Daphnia pulex: one gene and its partner. The protein of the gene in region 1 purifies or fractionates together with the protein of each later gene. This does not show direct contact. Links are inferred from orthologs where the notes say so. Each region holds a gene or a part of one and is shown on either strand. Other genes may lie near its edges.

Evidence for each region.
Region 2: the proteins of ubiquitin conjugation factor E4 A-like (region 1) and UBX domain-containing protein 4-like purify together in Homo sapiens (affinity purification with mass spectrometry; 3 studies listed by BioGRID and IntAct, counting the BioPlex papers as one, with this or other methods). This does not show direct contact. The link is inferred for Daphnia pulex from reciprocal best matches to the Homo sapiens genes UBE4A and UBXN4.

Annotation. Positions count from the first base shown.
Region 1 is NC_060021.1:167,898-171,563, reverse strand, and holds the start of ubiquitin conjugation factor E4 A-like, read left to right. Parts: upstream 1-714; 5' UTR 715-845; intron 846-910; 5' UTR 911-936; coding exon 937-1,891; intron 1,892-1,958; coding exon 1,959-2,464; intron 2,465-2,523; coding exon 2,524-3,086; intron 3,087-3,143; coding exon 3,144-3,540; intron 3,541-3,594; coding exon 3,595-3,666. Other genes in the region: T-complex protein 1 subunit theta-like, read right to left, coding at 1-67, 321-380.
Region 2 is NC_060018.1:8,416,221-8,419,974, reverse strand, and holds the start of UBX domain-containing protein 4-like, read left to right. Parts: upstream 1-1,645; 5' UTR 1,646-2,007; coding exon 2,008-2,218; intron 2,219-2,283; coding exon 2,284-2,441; intron 2,442-2,510; coding exon 2,511-2,668; intron 2,669-2,771; coding exon 2,772-3,212; intron 3,213-3,280; coding exon 3,281-3,405; intron 3,406-3,497; coding exon 3,498-3,660; intron 3,661-3,739; coding exon 3,740-3,754. Other genes in the region: mitochondrial potassium channel-like, read left to right, coding at 1-107, 174-971. UniProt on the Homo sapiens protein: Involved in endoplasmic reticulum-associated protein degradation (ERAD). Acts as a platform to recruit both UBQLN1 and VCP to the ER during ERAD.

The DNA.
Region 1 (3,666 bases):
CAGTTTCTGCTAGCTGCTTACAAGCACTGATGTTCCTGATGACAGCCTCTTCTAGACCTTGAAACATCTGTGGGGAAGAATTCAGGGTTTTTCATTACCAAATTAAGATTATTACGAAAATAAACGAAAAGATGTCTGGGAAAAAATTCCATCAGCTTTACTTAGTTCCCATAGTCAGGCATTCTAACATAAATGTTTCCTTCCATCGCTTAATAAAGCAAAGTTCAAAAACTCATTTTTTGACACACGTCGGGCATCACCAAGACGACCAGTCACGAGAAACGTCAGTTGAATCGGTAAAGTGTATAAATTGTTCTTACCCGCGAGCCCTCTTTCATCATTTGCTGGAAACCGGGTGGTTTAGGTACGTGCATCGCCATTTTTGAGAATTAAAGTTTCCAGCGACTTGATTTAAAGGAAATAATTAAAGAGACGTTGAATCAAGGAGTTGCCCTGTCGAAGCAACGTGCAGATTCACACCGGGTGACAATGGCTTCGTCTGAATGGTATGATTCAACAACGTTGACTAATAATCAACCAGATTTCCCATGCTTTTAAAAAGAATTCAAGAAAAATATACATTTTATTCATGTCCAAGATTATTATCTAAATTTGAAACAGAAAATTATTATTTAAAATAATTTTTTCATTAACCTTCTTATTTGTTTTTACATTTTTTCGTGACTGGCAAGAAAAAAATAGAAATTTCGAGAAAACCGTAGCAGAAGACATCTGGGAAACGTCAGTCAGCTGATCACATCAATGAAAACAAAATAAACATATTTTTGCATTGCTAATCATTTTCACAAATTGAAAAATATTAAGACACCTTGGATAAATTTGCGGTATAAATTTTCTTGTGAAAAATCCTATGTATTTGAAAGGAATTTAACAAATGTTATTGCAACAGGCGCTAATACCAAGAATCTGTATAAAATGACGGATAACAATCCCTTCCTCGCATTATTCAGCAAAGAAGTTGGAAACCCTAACGTAACGTCGGTTTCAGATGCACCAAGACAAGATTGTCACAATATTCCTAAGCAAGAGAATGGCAGGTTCAATGAATTTGCTGAAAATGTGTTTAGGCTCACACTCAAACCTCAGCAAATGAAAAATTCCACATTATTCTATATGAAGGACTTGTCCAAAGCCTTAAATCAAGAATGTTTCGATCAGACAGCACTGGACCAAGCTGTTCTCGAGTATGCCGTTGGACTGCAGCATTCGTTGGTTAATTATCTATTCCAGTGTTATGAGCGCTCTCTTACCCATGGTGATGAGCCAGAGATTCATGATGTAAGAAAAACCATCTTTGTCAACCTGGACTTGGCATTCTCTCAACCAGAATTGTTTCCTGAGCAAAATCTGCATGAAGATTTTCTTCAACTGCTCGCCTTCTCCTCTGAAGACACCTCTACATTTCTAGACAGTTTTGTACAACACCTTCTAGCACCCGAAAATCCTGCCGGTGTTACAGAGGTGTTTTTACCTTTATTTGCCAGCTTAAAAACCAAGCTGACCAACATGCACCTGCTAATGGGAAATCAAAGTGAATTGGACGCCATGATGGTCTTGAGCAAACAACCGACGCTGGCGAAAGACATGGTTTCTATTTCAATTTTGAATGAAAATATCATAGGCAAAGTTGGGAAGCAATGCGAGCAAACTCTACTGGGTTCCCTCTTCTTGTGCTCCTGCATTCCACGCGTCCCAGGAACGCCTTCAGACTTTTTCGACCGACCTTCAAGATCACCGCCCGGTGTTCACGCCACCACCGAAGGAAACATTTGGTCTGCCTCAGAGCGCATTATGGACAAAGTTTATAAAATATTCTATAACTTGTTTAAATCTTCACCGGAAGTTCAAAATCTCACCCGAAAATGGCTGGGTAATTTTAACCTTTTAATAAAAAACTTAAAAAAGGTGGAAATAATTTTCTTTTGTTGATTTTCTAGGGCAAGTATTGGAGTTAAACAAGGCTCGTGGGCAAATGTGGGCCCAGCATGATATGACAGCACAGGTCCACTGCGTTTCCGACGGATTCATGACCAATTTAGGTGCTGTGCTCCTTCAGCTCTGCCGGCCATTCTGTTCTACCGACGACCCGAAATCTTGCGATCGTCTCAGTAAAATTGACGCGACATTTTGTACCGCCAAAGAGACCAAAGACAATGGCGTGCACATTGCTGATCTGCACAAGGAAACGTGCCTCATTACGCAGGAGAACCGACCTGCAGCCAAAAGCCTTCCTTATTCATTTTCCACTGAGCTGTTTTACATGACCCACCGGGCCCTGGAGTTGGGCGCTAAAGCTGTTCACAGTCAAATGCTGCAGATGAGCCAGAATTTCAATCGCCTTCAAAGAGCTTACCAAGACGCCGAACAAAGTGGCCAAACTCCCGTAGCCCAGCAAATCCAAGAACGAATGGATGTCATGATGTCCAGCTACCTTTGTTTTAAGGTGAAAAAATTGAACCTTTATTTAAAATAGTCGTTGGTCTGACTTTATTTTTGTTACAGGCGGTTTTGTTAGTACCTGAATGGTTGAAAATGCAGTTCGAATTTATCATGGCCACATCCAAGTGGCTGTGTGGTACAGCGTTGGGTGTCCATCCGTCAAACGTGACGTCTTGTGACGTAAACAAGGAGCACTCGTCGGAATTGTTGACTTGCATTCCAGAATTTTGTTTGTCCAACGTCATGGACTTTGTTGTCTTTGTCAACCGCTTCTCTCCCGGCACGCTGGATCGAGGCCAACTGGACGATTTGCTGACTTTGATTGTAGTTTTCATGGGATCGCCAAACAGGCTTAAAAATCCGCACATGAGAGCCGGAATGGCTGAAATGTTGGACGGTTTGATGCCGCCGGATCGAGGCCATGCAGCTCCGCCCAGTTCGAGGACGGCTCTCTTCGTGAAACATCCCCGTGCCAACGATGTTGTCGGCACTCTTCTTCACGTTTTCGCTAGTATTGAAATGACTGGCCAAGGAGTGGCTTTCGAGCAGAAATTCAACTATAGGAGGCCCATGTACGCGGCCATGAAATTCCTCTGGAGTTTGAAACTTCATCAACGACAGTTCAAGTAATTCCACCTCCTTTTCAATAATTCAATTAACATAATGAATTTATTTTTGGCCAGGGTGCTGGCAGCGGAAGCGGAAGCCAACATGGAAGCCGCCCAACCGCCCTTGTTCCTTCAGTTTGTCAATCTCCTCATCAACGACGCCATTTATTTGCTGGACGAAGGACTGTCGTACATGGCCCAGCTGAAAGAGCAGCAACAACAGAGGGAAGACGGTTCGTGGCCAAATGTTCCAGCAGGTCCCCAGCGCCATCAAAGGGAGGCCACCTATCAGCACATAACGATGCTGGCCAGGTTCCACAATTTGATGGGTCGCGAAACGATCCGCATTCTTGAAATGATGACGACAGAAATCAAGGGAGTCTTTGTCCATTCAACAATGGTCGACAGGGTAGCCTCAATGCTCAACTACTTTCTCTTGCACTTGGTGGGGCCTAAAAAACGGGACTTTAAGGTAACGTAACTTCTTTTAAAATTGAAATTCTGACTAATTTTCTTTTTCTTATAGGTCAAAGACGTTGGTGATTACGAGTTCGATCCTGCCGAATTAGTTTCATGCATTTGTCAGATTTATTGCCAT
Region 2 (3,754 bases), on another chromosome or scaffold:
AGCCGCTAAAAGGGAGAGTTTCTTCCTGGATATATCTTAAAAATAAACAATACGAGGAGATTGTTGGTCTGACGGAAGTAAAGGCAGCACAGAATCGTGTTTTGCTGGTAATGTTTGCCAATTAAGATTTGTTAAATCACAGTCTAATTCTCTGTATTTTTATGTGTATTCAGTCAGAACAAAAATTTATCAAGTCTCAGGAAGACAGACGAGATCTACAAAGAAAAATAAGTCTTGTACAACTAAAATTACATGAACTTCATATTGAACTAGATCGAGTTCCACGGGGGGATGATAAATATCTTGCTCTCATTACCCAGGAACACTCTGTGATCAAGGAAGAAAAATTTCTAAAAGAAGACTTACAGTTGCTAGAAAAAGAAGAACGAGAAAATTTTGCTATCTTGTCACATACTGTAAGAGATTCTCATGAAAAAGAAAGAGCACAAGCTGAAAAAACTAAATATTGGTCAATTATTGGATCAGTTATGGGTACAATTGTTGGTGTTCTTGGATCCACAATCAACAATCATTTGAAAATGAAAGAGCTCAGAGAATTGGTTGAAAATGCAACTAAACACAACCACATACTTATGAATCCAGAAGAACTATCAACACATATTTCTTCTGCTGTACAGCAACATTTGCAAGCACCTCAAACAAGTCAAGATGTTTTAGAAGGAAAATGGAAGGAGTTAAAAAGTTCCTTGTTACAAACAATACAGCATGAATCTGAGGGCCAAAAAAAATCCCTCATAGAACTAAGCCAGCAATTCAAAGCCTCAAACAATACTGTAGTCAGCATGGACAATGTAAATACTATGGATGTAGAAAACTTTTTTTGTACAGCAGAGCAAAACATGAAAACTTTATTAGATCAGCAAGCACAGCATAGTAATAAACTCTTTGCCATCAGTGTTATTCTAATTCCAACTTGCACTTGGGTGTTATGCAAGCTTTTAAATCTTTAATTTACATATCCTCTGTGGGGTAGGAAAATAAATTTGTAAACTGTATTTTAATAGAGTAAATCTGATTCTGTAATACGAAGCATTATATCTTGTTTAAAACAAATAACTGATACTAATACGGAAAATTACAACCGGTAAACTTGTATGTGTGTTATTGCTGTGCTTTTGATATTTTTTAATTTTTATACGACATACGGGATTTCTCATTTTTGTTTCTTTAAAAAGGAGTTCGTTACTCGATCAGATTGGGTTGGGTTACAAAATTTATTTCCCTAAATTTAGTGTGTTTAAAATTAAGAGACCGAAACAAAAAAACTAGCTGAGCAATTTTATGCAAGCTTTTCTCGAAAATCCAACTGCTGCTCATTAAGCCTAATCTTTCTCAGTAATAAAAGAGAAAGGTGGTTAGGTTTAAGCTGGAATAGTAGTAAGAAGTAGGCCTACTTTCCGAGAAAAAAAAACGAGATTAGATTTAGATAGATTAAGCAGCTCGAAATGCGCACGTATCTATTAACGAAGTATTCAACCGTAAAATTTATAACATGACGTTGTGCGGTTGTAGGACTGTAACTCTTGAAAACAGCAGATATGAAATTCTGACATAACATTTGAATATTTCAATGAAAATAAAAGAATCACAATTTTATTTTTTTTTTATGAATGGAGGGGGGAGGATTAAATATCGAATATCGGTATGTTATTATCGAATTTTATTCAAACTTTTTTTAGTGTATTTATGATTTACGATTAAAAGTGCTTCAAGGAATAATCTTTCAATTGTTTATACTTTGTCTGTTTGTCTACCACATGGTCAGTGGTCATACGTTTGACTTTGCACAATTGCGGAGTGAAATCAATTTGCTATCATTGCTTGTCTTCTCCTAGAGCTCCGCCCCCTGGCCCCTACCTTAAAAGTTAAAACACACAAAACAGTAAACCTGTAGTCTGCTCACTGCTGTAGTGTACAGAAATATTATCATTCAGATTTATTGTCGGTCAAGATTCGAGAGTTTACAAATTCATAGAAAAAGAAAACATGCATTGGTTTCAAGGCAGTATTCCGGAAGCTATAATTGCTTCCCGCAATAGAAAATGTATATTTGTTGTTGTTGTTACAGCAGAAGATGAGGATTCACAACAACTTTTGACAAGATTAGAAGAAGAAAATGTTTCAAGTGTTTTCAATAGTTTTGTTTCTATTTCATTGAAAAGTGGTAGCGGTGAAGCCAACATGTTTAGTCAGTTGTGTAAGTAAACTTTTTTTTAAATAAATTATTTGATAATATTATTGCAACCTGATTATTTTCCTTAGATCCCCTTGTTGTCTTACCAGCAATTTATATGATTGGTCTACAAGGATCACCGTTGGAAGTAATTGGAGGGCTTGTTGATATCCCCACACTGTTGAGTAGAGCTCAGAAAGCTTTAAAGGTACATGATGAACAACAAAATGTTGCCCAAGCTTCACAGGTATTTAATTGAGTAAATGTTCAAATGTTTCTTATTATTATTTCATCAAATATTTTTTCAATAATTCAGATTGCTGAAGCGGAAGTATTACAGACAACATCTGAGAATATAGAACCATCTCAGGAAGAAGAAACCACTGAAAGTGGAAATCCTGGCAACAGTGAGGATGGTCCATCTGGTTTGTCATTGGAAGCTCGCTTGGAAAGAGCTGATCAGTTACTAGCTGCGTAAGTGCATGAATAGTCATTACTTATCATTGGATAACTTCAACTAATAATTTAATTTTGATGGCGTAGTTTTCGACACTTAATTAATATTTTTATTTTCCAGAGTACGTGAGAAGAAGATAGAAGAAGAACGTGAAAAAGAGAAAATTAAGGAGCGTGAGCGTCGGGAATTAGGTAAACAGCTTCAGCAGTTCAAAGAAGCACAACGTGAGCGCGAACAACGTGAACTGGCAGATTCACGCCAGAAGGAAAAACGAGAAGAAAAAGAAGCTTTAGAGAAAATTCGACAAAATATTGCCCAAGACAGGATAGATCGGGCTGCGCGATACCAAGCGGCTCAGACAAGCGAAGAAGAGCGACGACGTGCTGCTCAAAGTGCTCAAGAACAACTTCAACGTGAGAGAGCCTCAGCTGCTCGTAGTGCGTTTTCTCGGCTGCAGTTTCGTTTGCCTGACGGTTCAACCCGTACAGAGCAATTTTCTTCTGACGTCAAGTTATCATCTGTCAACGAATTCATTGATCAACAAATTAAACCACCATTTAGGTTGTACATTTCTTGATGCTTAAATTTTTTAAGTGCACGTTCATTAATATTTCTCTTTATCGATCTAGACCATATTCTCTTAGTACTACATTCCCTCGTCGTGAGTTCCATGAATCGGATATGCAACAGACTTTACGGGAATTGGATCTGACTCCTTCTGCTGCTCTTCTTATTATCCCCATTGCTGGAACTGGTATGATTAGTGCCATTAATTTTTATTTCTATTTTGTGTGTGCATTCCAGAACATTTTTTTCCATTAAAGTACAAATATTAATTTTTATTAGGATTTAAGCCTCAGACTAATGGATCCGCCGGCAATACGTGGCTTAGTGCAATCTTCGCACCTCTATTTGGGATTTGGAACTGGATTTGGGGATTTTTTGCCAACCCTCCGCCGCGTGTAACTCATCAGGATTCAACAGCTCAGCCTCAACCAAATAGTCAAGGGTATTATTGATTTATTTTGATCACAAACTCTTTCACCAATCAGATGTTGAACCAACTTCTGTCACTGCAATTTTTTTAGTGTCCGTCGTCGGCG